2 linked regions of the Pelodiscus sinensis genome follow. The protein of the gene in region 2 interacts with the protein of the main gene of each other region in a biochemical or structural test. Links are inferred from orthologs where the notes say so. Each region holds a gene or a part of one and is shown on either strand. Other genes may lie near its edges.

The links.
Region 1: the proteins of PTPRB (region 2) and CNTN1 form a complex in vitro, tested with the Homo sapiens proteins (2 studies listed by BioGRID). The link is inferred for Pelodiscus sinensis from reciprocal best matches to the Homo sapiens genes PTPRB and CNTN1.

The regions. Positions count from the first base shown.
Region 1 is NC_134711.1:52,062,052-52,069,352, reverse strand, and holds the start of CNTN1 (contactin-1), read right to left. Parts: upstream 3,009-7,301; 5' UTR 2,956-3,008; intron 1,468-2,955; exon of another isoform or gene 1,331-1,467; intron 1-1,330. UniProt on the Homo sapiens protein: Contactins mediate cell surface interactions during nervous system development.
Region 2 is NC_134711.1:64,675,798-64,682,893, forward strand, and holds the start of PTPRB (receptor-type tyrosine-protein phosphatase beta), read right to left. Parts: upstream 3,020-7,096; 5' UTR 2,922-3,019; coding exon 2,867-2,921; intron 1,663-2,866; coding exon 1,270-1,662; intron 1-1,269. Other genes in the region: PTPRR (receptor-type tyrosine-protein phosphatase R), read right to left, coding at 4,884-4,977. UniProt on the Homo sapiens protein: Plays an important role in blood vessel remodeling and angiogenesis. Not necessary for the initial formation of blood vessels, but is essential for their maintenance and remodeling. Can induce dephosphorylation of TEK/TIE2, CDH5/VE-cadherin and KDR/VEGFR-2.

The DNA.
Region 1 (7,301 bases), about 13 Mb from region 2:
GACAGAGGCCCAAATATGCTGGCTGCTGTGACCCTGGATAACTGTAAACACAGATAAGAGAGATAACTGTAAACACAGATAACACAAGCCAATCACTGACCAAGAGGCTGCAGAAACTGCCCTTGGTTGGCACCTATGTTGATACAAGCACACAACCATCCCGGGAGAGGAATCTCTTGCTGAGTAAAGTGATAGAAATGTAGCCGTGTTAGTCTGGGGTAGTTGAAGCAAAATGCAGGACAATGTAGCACTTTAAAGACTAACAAGATGGTTTATTAGATGATGAGCTTTCGTGGGCCAGACCCACTTCCTCAGATCAAATAGTGGAAGAAAGTAGTCACAACCATATATACCAAAGGATACAATTTAAAAAAAATGAACAAATATGAAAAGGACAAATCACATTGCAGAACAGAAGGGGGATGCGGGGGGGTGGGAAGGGGGAGGAAGGAAGGTAAGTGTCTGTGAATTGCTGATATTAAAGGTAGGGAGAGTGGGATGTTTGTGAGTTAATGGTATTACAGGTGATAATTGGGGAAACTGTCTTGGTAATGGGTGAGAAAGTTCAAAGACTTGTTAAGTCCTTGTTGGTAAGTGTCGAATTTTAACATGAATGACAGTTCAGAGGATTCCCTTTCAAGTGCAGATGTAAAAGGTCTTTGTAGCAGAATGCAGGTGACTTAGCCACCTGCATTCTGCTACAAAGACCTTTTACATCTGCACTTGAAAGGGAATCCTCTGAACTGTCATTCATGTTAAAATTCGACACTTACCAACAAGGACTTAACAAGTCTTTGAACTTTCTCACCCATTACCAAGACAGTTTCCCCAATTATCACCTGTAATACCATTAACTCACAAACATCCCACTCTCCCTACCTTTAATATCAGCAATTCACAGACACTTACCTTCTTTCCTCCCCCTTCCCACCCCCCCGCATCCCCCTTCTGTTCTGCAATGTGATTTGTCCTTTTCATATTTGTTCATTTTTTTTAAATTGTATCCTTTGGTATATATGGTTGTGACTACTTTCTTCCACTATTTGATCTGAGGAAGTGGGTCTGGCCCACGAAAGCTCATCATCTAATAAATCATCTTGTTAGTCTTTAAAGTGCTACATTGTCCTGCATTTTGCTGAGTAAAGAATGTCCAGTACTCCCAATTTAGTTATCTCTCTTACAAGTGTAAATTAAGTTCACAACTCCCTTGTAAGAACTGGCGTCGCAAAGACGAACCAGCACAATTTGGCACCATAGATAAGAAAGAGAATACGTGACCCCACGGGTATAAAGATGGGCCCAGCAGCACACTCACTCTGAGCATCAATCTACCATCTACCTGCTGGTCGGGTTATGTTATTGTCTCCCAAGGTCCACACGGGGATGCCCATCCTCGTATTCATCTTTCTGAGGAATTGAGTGACCAATCCTGGCCTGACACGCTGGAATCGAGAGATGCAGAAGGGGGTAAAAATTGTATCTTTATGTGTCCTTTTGTTTTAGTGCATGCATAGAATAGAGTTCTTTAAAGATTAAGCTGTCACTTGGTACCGTTATTTTATCTTCCTTTTCCTTTGCAACCATTTTAAGATCTGTATTTGCTAGCAGTTAAGAAGTAGAACAATAGTCACTGTAACCGTATGCTTATAAGTCTCTTTAATAAACCTGTAACTGTTTAAGCTTTAACCTGACTCCTTCTGTTGCTGTATCAGAACCAGACACGATCAAAAGAACTAGCCGGTAGACGCAGTAAGAGCTGGGCATTGGGGTTCTGCCGCCTCCACAGGGCAGACCCTTGGGGCACCCATCAGCCTCTCCTGGCTGCCTGCTGCGAAGGGACTTTTGTCCTAGCAGCTAAAAACTCAGGTGTAATAAACTCTCTCTGCACCAACCTGGGGCACCAGTCAACCTCTCCTGGCTGCCCGCTGCAAAGGGACCCTGTCCTAGCAGCCAAAGACTCGGGTGTAAAACTTTGGGGCACCTGTCAGCCTCTTCTGGCTGCCCGCTGTGAAGGGACTCTGTCCTAGCAGTTGAAGACTCAGGTATCATAGGGCTCACAGACCACACACTACCCCGGCCACCGGCTGACACGGAGGTGGAGGAGGCGAGATTTTATGCACTGCCCTCACCCCTGGGCCAGTCATTGTAGCTCCCATTGGCCAGAAACCAATGCAATGATTGGCCTGGGGGTAGGGGCAGTGTGTGAAGTCTCCCTCCACCCTCCGCCAGGGGTACCCCATGCAGAGTGGCACATGGAGCCTGCACCCCCTCCTGTACCCCTCCTCCAGGTCAAATCCCCCTCCTTGACCCTGCACCCCAATCCTCTGCCCCAGATCACAACCCCCTCCTTCACCTACTCCCTCTCAGACCTCACAGCCTCTCCTGAACCTCCGTCTCCTACCCCAATCTCCCTTCTGTACCCAACCAATGTCCCAGGACCTGCACCCTCTCCACAGAAGTGCGGCTCTTGACCACTTACCAAAATCTTGGAGTGGCCTCCCACCAAAAATTATTGCTCCACCCCGATCTATACTGTACCTGGGAATGGATGGTTAGGGGTATTACACTGGCCCTAGACACCGCATGGTAGGGGGAGGTGCCAGAATTAAGTTCACTATGGGCTGCAGGGGGAAGCAAGCACAGATCTGTTGCATCTAAAGGTCAACCAGAAACTGCAGTATGTCTATTTGCTCCCTGACAAGTGGTATCATCTCTTGTTTCCTGTTTCTCCTGTCCATTCTGTCCTTGTGTGCCATTCTCCAAGCCCTCTGCTCTGTCTGTGAAGCACCAGAGGCTTGTAGGATTTCCTGTAACATGTCTTCTCCTGTTCTGTTCTTTCTCCTCTTTCTCTCGCTGAGCCACTCTAGTGGCATACTTGGAGAGACCCTCAAAGACACATTGTCAGCTGCAAAAGAAACAATAGACAGGGGTACTCTTGGGAGTACAATCACTCACCTCGATAGAGCACTCATCATGGCTGGGAATGCTGTTGTGTGCAATGAATCCCAGGCAGACATGTGAGTGCTTGTAACTTGTGTCTGAGGGTGGGGAACCTCAGACAATAAAGGGGGGGGAACTCACAGGCAAGAATATACAAAGACATGGTAATTGAACAGAATACTAACTGAATACTGGCACCATTTTCCACAGACAGTGATGACGTTAGCTAATATCTCACTCCTGAGGATTGCTGAGGCTAAAATGGAACAACTCCTGCACGCATCTGGCTGCGGACCAGGAACATACTGTGGTAATCTGCATATTGCAATGATGCCTGCTGAAGTAATTTCTGAAGGGTGTAGGAAAGTGTCTTACCACAGCGGAAGAAATAAGGCAGTCCTCTCCAGAAACCTTTGGCAAAGGATTACTGATTCCCCTCCAGCATTCACAGACCATCCTGTTGCACATAAACAAACATCTCTGCCAGGTTCCCTCTGTCTAAATCTTGAGAAGCAAATAGCAATACTCTATTGATTATTTCACTATCCCTTTGCAGCATGATTAAAAAAGAATAAATGAACAGATGTACCCTTGCCATTTCAAAATAAACAGCATATTTACCAGAGATTCCTTCCACCTGCACCAGTGCTGGACTGCTGGTAGTCGCTCAAGTATTCAGGAATCAAAAAAGTGATCCTGGATTGCAGTGACACTGGATCCCCCCTGCCCTCCTCCACTTCTGCATCCAGCACCTCATCCTCAGGGTTCAGTACAAGGTGCTGAGGATGGTATGCAGCTCCGAATAAAAACATCAGGTCTATGGCTCTGCACCAAAGCAACTGTTTGACTCCTGACTTCTGTTATGCTTGCTGCAGCTCCTTGATTTTCACACAGCACTGCTGTATTTCCCTCTCATAGCCCTACTTCCCCATGCTCTGAGCAATATGCTCATAGATGTCAACATTTCTACAGCAGTATCAGAGCTGTGCCTGCATGGCCTCTTCTCCCCACAGACCCGGAAGAACCAATACCTCTGTATTCTTCAGCCAGGAGCATGTTTGCAGTGTAGAGCCTTCATGGTCAGCTAGACATTTGCTATGATGGGCCATTATGGGACATCTCACTAGGAGGGTGGAGAAACACTGGAATGAATGGGTTACCTGGGGAGATGGTGGGATCTCCATCTCTAGTGGTTTTTTAAATCCTGGCTTAACAAAGCCCTGCCTGGGTGATTTCATTGGGATAGGTCCTGCTTTTAGCAAGGAGTTGGACTCAATGACCTCCTGAGGTCACTTTCAACCCTATGGTTTTATGATTCTAGGAGCTCCTGGAGACCACTAAAGTCAATGTAAATAATACAGCGTCCACCCTGACACTGCATCAACCCAGCTATATGGAACAAAACACTGCCTCTCATGGATGTAGAGTTATTAAGTCAGCATAGTGGGTGAGTTACATTGATGGAAACTGCGTTTTGGTTTAGATGCTTATACAATTAGGTTGACATAAGCTGCCCTCCATTGACTCAAATCTGCAGTGTAGACCGGGCCTGACAAATATCCTCTTTGTCTCCCTTTCCTGCATACCCCTGAAAACATACACAATGCCAGTGTGAAACCCTTGGAAGTTTTTGATAAGTTAATTGAACATTAGCAGGAGATTGTTCTGATATCAAAGAGAATACATGCACTTTATATGCTGATAGGCATTTTATTGGGATTTCTGGCAGAAAATCTTGATCAGATAAGTTAGGTGACCTGGGAAACTGAGCTGAAGGAACTTCATCTGGATAACCAGAGATAATGCATCAGGCCCAGCAGTTTTCTCAGAAATGTTTTGTCAAAATGCCTCTAGGCCATTGGAGGTGAGACAGGGAAGATGTGTAGAGAGAACTCAAGTTGCAAATGCTACTGTTTATACAACAGCTATTAAATGCCACAGTCTATGAAAAAACAAATATCCTTACCATGGAAAAACAATCATTCATTATATAATAGCATTAGAAATATTTTGGATGTTCATGCTTTGCAGCTACAATGAAATCCTTGTGCAACATTACCACATTTTAGTCTGAAAGCCATGGACAACTAAAACTCCCTAAAAGTCATCAACACTTTGGATAGAGCAGGAACGGATGGAATGAGCCCACTGTTGAAATGCCTCACAAATAAAATTATTATGCCTCCTGCAAAATCTGCTGCTAAGCAACTAAATTTCAGAATTTTCTAATGATATTTGGTCATTTTAAATCACTTCCATGCTAACTAAAATATAGGTAGTAACCTTGTAAACCCTTACAGACATGAGCACTCCCATCTCATAAAAAGTCAAAGGAACTACTCCCATAAGTAATGTTGCAGGAACCAGTACTTACTTACTGGCTGCTTACTATTTTAACTGAAGCTTCACAGAAAAGGTTAACTAATAGTTTATCTTTATGTTTGTTTATTTCTTCAGTGCCTCTAGCCAGACAGGAACCCCCCTTGTAACATCCATTTTTGCTTGCCTGGAGCATCCAGGGCACACAGAGCAGAAGGCCCAGGCTGCTGTGACCGTGAATGGCTGTAAACAGAGATATGCCAATTGCTAACCAAGAGGCTGCCAAGGAGTGCCCTTGACTCAAACCCATACTGATACGAACACTCAGCCGCCCGCGGGGGGGAGGAATCTCTCGCCCAGTAAAAAAATGTCTAGTATTCACAATTTAGTTATCTCTCTTGCAAGTGTAAATTAACTTGAAACTTGCTTGTAAGAACTGGCGCCACAAAATGGACCAGTACAATTCGGCATCTTAGATAAGAAAGAGGATACGGGCCCCCAGGGGTATAAAGATGGGTCCAGCAGCGCATTTTCTCTGAGTGTCAATCTACCATCTATCTGCTGGTTGGGTTAGGTGTTTGATCTCCCGAGGTTCCAAGGGGACGCCCACCTCGTATTCGTCTTTCCTAGGAATTGAGAGACTGGCCCTGGCCTGACACGCTGGAGTCGAGAGGCACAGAAAGGGGTAAAAATTGTACCTGGATGTGGTCCTTTGTTTAAGTATATATATACATAGTGTTAGAGCTCTTTAAAGATTAAGCTGTCATTTGGTACCATTATTTCTATTTTCTATCTTTACCTTTTTCCTGTAACCATTTTAAGATCTGTATTTTGCTAATAATTATGAAATAGAGCAATAGCCATTGTAACCATATGCTTTTATAAGTCTTTTAATAAACCTGTAACTGTTTAAGCTTTAACCTGACTCCTTCAGTTGCTGTAATAGAACCAAGCACAATTTAAAAGAACTTCAGCCGGTCATAAAGGGACAGACATAGGGAGAGCTTGGGCATTTGGATCTGTGTCACTCCCAGGTGACAAGATCCGTTGGGGCACCTTTTCAGCCTTTCCCAGGCTGCCCGCTGCGAAGGAACTTTGTGTTCTAGCAGCTAAAATCTAAGGTGTAATAAGCTCTTCCTATATAACGGGGCGTCTGTTGGCCTGCTGGCCACCCTCTGCGATGGGACCCCGGTCCTAGCAGTAAAGACACGGACGTTAAACCTTTTCTCGGAAACACACACACACACACACACACACACACACACACACACTGCCCTGACCGTCAGCTGACAGTGCCCCATAGGCATCTGGGGATTCCAGAATTCTGTCACGTGACTGGTTTTAAAAGCTGAAATTATTCACACCAAAGCCTAAATTCAAAGTTGTGTAATTAGGTATAAGAATTCCAGATGATTACTCTCTGAGAACAATGTAAACTTTTTACAGAAATTCTTAGGGTCTGGCATTTTGTCCTGTTGGTGTACATTTAAAGAGATTGTTTCCTATAAATAACAAATAAGTGCTACAACAGACAGAACTATGATAGGAAGAGTTCCTGAATACGTTTCCCAGGGAAGACATTCTGTAATTTAAAATAAAATTGAAGCAAGAAATAGAGAGAAGGAGACCATCCAGACTACAGCCGAGGAATGCACAGTCTGATTCAGAAGGGGATGCGAAAGTGACTGATCTTAGGCTATCTAATTGTCAGAAATTAATACAGCCTGACAACTGCTCTCATGCCATTTCTCCATGGCCCCGAAGGTGTGATGCTGAACATTGCTGTGGCACATCCATACCCTTATTTCCCTGGCCCTGCTCCTCTGCACTGACAACAGGTGTGTTCAGTGAAGGGATGATCCACCTATGGTTGGCCGTGACTGAGTAATGCAAAATGATCCTCCAGCAAAGCAAGGATCAGGGCCAGTGCAGCCATGTGCTGGGTTCAAAGGCCATTTTATCTTGGATCTTCAATCCTACTTAGAAACGTCACTTAAAATACACAGTACCGACAGATGCATAGCACCACAATACACAGATTT
Region 2 (7,096 bases):
GCGCGCCCGTTATTTCGATTACATTTTGAAGTAATGGACGTGCTGTCAAGACGCAGAAAACGCTATTTGAGGATACTGGTAGTATCCCAAAATAGTGCCGCAGTGTAGACATACTTTAACAGACCCCAAAACAAGAGTTGTGAACATATTATTAAACAACACTCAGATCCTTTCTAGCCACATTTTATGTTATAACTGTGTCGAAGCAAAAACACGCTCCTCTGTGTTTAGGCAGCTAACAAACAGCTTTATTAATTAATAAAGCACAGCATGAGCCAAACGTGGTCACAGCAGAGCCGGGCCCAGTAAGGCTGCTAATACAATCAATCCTAGTATCTTTATACCCTTAGCCAAACAGTCTGACGTCAGGGCATCCAATTACAGAAATCCTCAATTAAATTTGGAAAAACAAAGCCTTATCAACAAGATGGCGTACAGGTACGAGGGAGTACATCTCCTGTCCCAACCAGCCCAATTAACACATACCAATAGCCCGTCCTGTAGGCCTCTTCTCACGGGGTGACAGAAAGTTCACTCTGGTCTACGTGCTTGAGAGAAAAGCTGAAATGGTTTCTGATATACAAGATGGCTTCTAGCTAAACATAAAATAGCTTCTACAACTGTATATAAATACTTACCATGTACGAAGGTAAACACACAGGAAAATGCATCTTAAAATTAGTATTTCCAAAGATTTGGATTCAGTTCATTACACTGTGAATTTTGTATTTGTTACCAGGATTATTTCCCATATTGGTATAGTGATGCTACTTCATGAGCAATGGAATATGTAGGCTATTTGTTCATTGGGAACAAACATTCAGGTTATCAGTGAAGTAGTACTACATCTATCCAATTTTTCAGATGACTTGTGCCCCTTTTGGTATATTTTTTTAAATATGCATGTCTATAAAGTGGATGAGGAAGAGGATCTGGAGAGTTTGATGTTGGTATTGAAAGCAGCACTAAAATTATATTCTTCTCTTTTTGGGAAGCAAATAGCACAAGAATCTGGTGGGATTAAGTCTATACATACAAATTTGGGCCCCAAATATCAACCAGATAACTAGAGCAACCCACTAAATTTTAGAAAGTCAGGTATCATGGCTGTCTTAAAATTATTCTTTTTAAGGTACTCTGATTTTGGATTCTGAGCAATCTTTTAAGCTCCCAGGAGAAAATGTAATTTTTCTTAAAGTGAGAGTGGGTGCAAGAGAGACAGGATTGTTACCATAATTACCAAGACACTGCCTGAAAGGAGAAGCTCACCTTTGTGTGGACACAGATTTTCATAGGTAGAGTTTCCTTTGTCGTCGATACTTATTTGCTTCCAGCTATGAGGGTATTTCTTACCCATCTTGATCATTACCTTCGGGCCTTGTTTGGAGAGAAAGAGAGAGCTATTTGCCACCTGGAGGAGGCCTTCCTTTTTGTGGCAGGTCCAGCTGGGTGCCTGAGGGCAGTCTATGAAGATGCTGCGGGATGATGCAGCAGAGGACTTGGAGATGCCCAAACACTGGCCAGATTTAACATGGAGAAGTTTCTCATAGTCTGTCCACATCCACTGCTGGTTTGGATCCGTCAGATTGCAGTTGCTCACTAACGCTGTTTTGCCTCTAAAAAGGCATTGCTGTTTCTGGACATGGATAATCAGAAACCCTCCTGGAAGATGAAAAACCCATAAAAATGCAGCAAATCATATGTGGCATTTAAAAATGAATCCCAATGACTTCAAAATAATCCTCCTTTTTTCTTTCCCACTTTCTGTGTATCTCAGCTTTTTATGACTGGCACCAGCAGAAATTATTTTAAAAGGCACAAAATCACAATTGTTTGGTCAGGGAAATGCGAAGAGAGAGAATGCAACAAACCCTGACTTTCTACTTAAAAACAAAAGAAATCTAACTTGAATTAAAATATGGGTTATTGACTTTCACTTCACTTCTGAAAACCCTGTCCCTCCTCTTCCAATACACAGAGATCCATTAGCCTTCCTTACTCTCACCTTAAATTAAATTCACTGTACATAACTGGAAATTGATTTTTTAAAACAAATCTTAGTATTTGGTGGAGGAGGGTGACAGAACAACATCTGTGTGCTGTGTGAAAAAGGATGGGAACTTTTGACTGATATGAACTCTGTGTATCTTACACACCTAAATACATTGACTCCTCCAGTCATTACTTTGTAACTATCTCACTATAGATCAGATTGATTCTTTTATTATCCCAGTTTATATGTATAGAGCCAATGATAAAATGAAGAGAAGAAAAAATCATTCATTGAAATCAAATTTCCCCAACCCCAAAAGCCCATTTGTTATTAAGAACAGAATTGGAAGGTTCACTAGCAATCTCAATTTGACTCTCATTTCATTGATCACGTTTTATTGCAAGTCAGTTAATTCATCAAAACTTAAGGCTCCACTCGATAAACAAAATCATTTAAAAACAAAACACGTAACTTCTTTTGTTTCTTCATTCACACTTTTTTATGGCGTAGGACATAAAACTGTTCTAAGTGCCCATAGAAGCTTTAGGTTTGGTAAGTTTCACAAAGCCTTACTAAGTAATCTGAATCTCTCTTCAAAGAAATCTAGCTCAGGATTCTGCCTCAGAACTGTCTAGTTGAAGATATTTTTTAAAAGGTATTCAAGGAGAGACCGTTTATTTTCCTTTGGAGAGAAATCTAAACAGTACGGGCTTTGTTGGCCCAGCCCTCCCCCTCCATCTCTCTTATATAAACTCAGGCTGAGAAGTGGCTCCATTTCCACAGCACTGAATAAGTTTCAACAACCCTTAGGAGCCCTGGTTAGTGACACAATGGGAACTGGAATGGAGGATAGACACCGGGCGATGTGCTTACCTGAGATCTTGAAGGCCAGGAAGGTAAAAATCAGGACATGAAGTAAGGGATCCATTTTCCAGCTAACAACTCCCCATGCTTCTGTTTAAAAAAAACCACACACACACACACGCAACACACACACACACACACACACACAAAATCACCACCTCAGATAAGTGAAGTGAAGGCTAGGAAGGAAATGTGCCTTCACAGGAGGAAAAGTCAGTGACGAGCATTTCCTTCTATTCAATAGTTTTGGGGAATTTCATACCAGTTTGTCCTTTCATATGATTCTTCAGAGTTTACAGACTCTGATTTATTTTGGAAAAACCCAAGCAAAAAGGGGATAGATTTTGAAACTACCAGTGCTCGCTCACACACAAATAAAAAACATGCTTCAACATCTGAATAAAGTGCTGGATTAAAAATATAAGGAACAGAGATTGTAATTTCATGTAACTGACCACTCATAAAACATTCCATGGCTGAATGTGGTTTGGCTAGTGATGAATAAATACATACTAGCCTATCAATTTTTCACCATTCACAGTTTCTAGAATATGTTGCGAGTCCATCAAGCAAAATCACATTATTAGATATCATTTCCAACTCCTCTGTGAGTTCTGAAAACTATAATATTGTGGGAGTACTAATCTATGAGTTCTTCTCATTGTACACTCCCACTATGGGATCAAATTATGTTGACTTTTCGTCAACATTGTCTGATCCATGTTGCCTACATACAGTGAGAGTTTGCCTTAATGAAAAGCTGGGTAAAGGCCTCAAAGATTTGACCTCCAAATGGCCAGAAGCCAGCATAGAATTAACTAGAGCAGATTGGGCTATATTTGCCTTATCAGGGTATCATGATAATGGTAATGGTTACTTACTGTAGGCAATAAACCTCCAGATGCACTAACTATTTTGTATCAAGGGTAGTTTATTGTCAGTATGAAGCAAAGTCAACATCACTGAATTAAAAACTGATTTAATCCTAGTTGCTGTAAGTAGTTATGCTAGATTTACATTTCTCTTAATGAACAAATCTTTGCAGAAATATAAGGAAACATTCATAAAAACATTTTTTTGTATAACTTCCTGTAACAGAACAGCTCCTCTTTCCAAAGGCATCCATCTCTTAACAGAAGTGATACAACAGGGAGATAACATATTCAAAAAATCCACTCTTAGTGAAAGATGGGCAAATATTTAAAATCCTTACCATTGAATATATGCTATAAAGTTTCCTTTAAAAGTAAAATGACTCATACAGTTTACAAATACACTGGATTCAGGTCAGGAACAGAAGCAGTTTCTAACAGTATAGAGTACAATCAACAGTATAGAGTAATTACATACATATACATTGAATAACAGAGGTTGTGCTCTGTCACTGCATTATAGGACTTATTATAAATATGCATTAAATAGCTAAATAGTATGAAGAACAGATATTTCCATATAAAAGATAACCGCTTTTGAACAGTTTCCAAAACAAAAGGACTTTTCTTCTTAAATCCATAATTAATCACTTGCAACTTTAGCAGCAAGAGTTTTATGTGGCCAAGAAATAAGCTCACCACATAATAGGTAATAGCACTTAACAGGTACAGTTTAACAGCTGACAGTCCATTCACAAGACAGAGTTGGCAAATGTTAAAGCATTTATACACTTAGAAAAACATTTCTTCTGAAGAAGTTCCAATTTCCATCTGACTGCAGCCGTAGCACATACATACGTTCTGTATAGCAGATATTATTACAGTAATAAATCCACCTTTTAGATATATACGTGAAATCCACATGTAGCATCAGTATAGTACCTTCTTTAAAAATCATTTCAGGATGCTTACAATATATTCATATACAGTAAGTGTCTGGCTATCTTTATAGTTTTGCCAAACCATCCATAGTCCTTTCACAAGTTGGCGTCAAAGCACCTCTCTCCACTGTAGTAAACTCCTTGACGAAGTTGCTGGTAGGTAATGAAACAAATTACCTCAAGAGACTGACATTCTGGTCCCCCTTCGTGGTTTCACTGGACTGCTTCTTCAGCGAGTCGACTTTCATACAGACTCAGTGCATGGTGCACAAATTCATATTGTTCACTGGTCTGAACCATTCCACCTCTGAAAAGAAAGTGCAATAGAATGAAATCTTATTTCTTAAAAATCAAACAAATCTGCTCTCGTGCTAAGAACCAGAAAACACGTGAGGTCAAATCCTGAGGTCTATTCTGAGTTTTAATTTCAGTGAGAGTTTGTCTGAGCAAATGGCAGTTTGGCCTGAGTAGTGCTCTTCAAGTGATATTTGTCTTGTTATTACATCATGACTATCCAACCCTGACACAACAGATGTATGAGCTGTAGGGAAACATTTAGCTGGCAGGTAAGCTGTTAAAATCCAGATTTCAAACCCAATGCAATTATGGGGAATCTCCCGAAAAGCAATGAACACGCTGTATTTTAAGCACGACTAAGATTAGATATGTCATAAAAAGCTTAGTCACTTGTGGCAGATTCTTACACCCTTTATTCAAGTTGAGTTCTGGACTCACAGAGCAGCCCCATTGATTTTATTGGGGTTGTTGGAGGAATGAGGTGCTACTTAGCATGAGTAAGGGTAAGAGAATCTGGCCCAGTGTGCACAGACTTCATTCTTCTTCATATCCTAAAAATGTAACCTATGGTGACCCTTAGATCACATGTGCAGAGACCAGCTCTTCCTGTCCTCTTTCTAACGCCTACAATGCATCCGGTCTAAACAGCAGACAGAGAAGAAATTTTACAGCGGTGACTCATTTCTGCGCCAGCAATGCAACTTAGTTTAACTTGAGCATAAAAAAGTGCTCAGTGCAGTCAGTTTGGATCAGCTACTTACACCTAATATAGCTGTATGATAGCTCAGCTGGTAGCACTGGGGCTTTCAGGAATCCCACAGTAGGACCTAAACTATCCAGTGTTGAAAGTGAGTGAGGAGATGCTGTGCCAGATGGAATACTGGCTGAGGCTGTACTGCAGTACTAGCATTGTCTTTCAGATAACAAACATGGGCCAGGGCCCCTCACACATTTGGGACCCAGACACAGTAGGTGCTATTGCAACTCCAAAATGTTAAAAACAACTGCAACCTGATCACTGCAGAGACATCCTTGCCTCCCTTCCCAAGCTTGCATCAAGCCAGCTACTTGGAGCAGATGTGTGTGCCTGTCTGGGAAGGAAGGATGTGGCCCACAGGGAAAGGAAGATTCATACCTGCACTTCAAACTGCGTTTGCCAACCCTCATTGAATTAGGTGATTTCAGTGGGAGGCTTGCATCACACGGATGTAGAATCTGGCCTTTTTAAATACAAGGCTTGCTAGGCCACAGAAACTATCAGGTTAACACATTTTTTTAAATATCTGTGGTTTTTCTAACAGAAAAAAAAGACAATTGATAGGTAGACCTATTGTACCTATTGTAACACAATGTATTCAACAAGTAGCTTCTCTTATTTAAGATCTTCCTGTTGGCCTACCATTTTGAGGTCCTTTCAGTTTCTTCATTGCTACTGGATGTCCAAATAGCCATGAGACAAAAACTGCTTACTTCCAGCTGCAACTGGCAAGAAGACTCTACTCCTTAAACAGTATTGGGCTTGGCCATCGTGAGCCACATATTTGTGACTTCCAACCTTGATTATTGCTATCCATTATTCCTAGTAATGAAGCCACATAGCCTGAAAAATCTTTAGCTGACACAAAATGCAGCAGTTCATCTGCTCAGCAACAGAGACTGCCATAAGTACATCATTCTACGGCTTCTGTCTCAGCACTGGCTCCTTGATGAATATGGAGTACATTTCCAGGTCTCCTGGTTGATATTCTAAGTACTCCATGGAACTGACCCTAGATACTTATGGGATCACCTGTTCTTTCAGTGACCATGAACTCCTGCAACAGCTGCATTCCACTGGAATGAGGAAGCTGCTTTCCAGTCGTGGGGCGGAGGCTTGAAATTGGGACACAGAATTTTCACAAGAGCTGGCCCTAGATTGTGGAACTCACTCCCAGAAAAGAATGCCCATATGCCTCACATACACCACAGAGTAACACAGCCCAACTAATCAAGCCATCTCTCCTACAGATTGCAGTAGAAGAAAGAGATCACTATTGGTTCTTTTTGATTTGGGAGGCACTGAGATACTACAGTTCTGTATAATTATCTAGTTCAAGAGACTCATTTTTCTGTGTGAAATATTTGCAAAG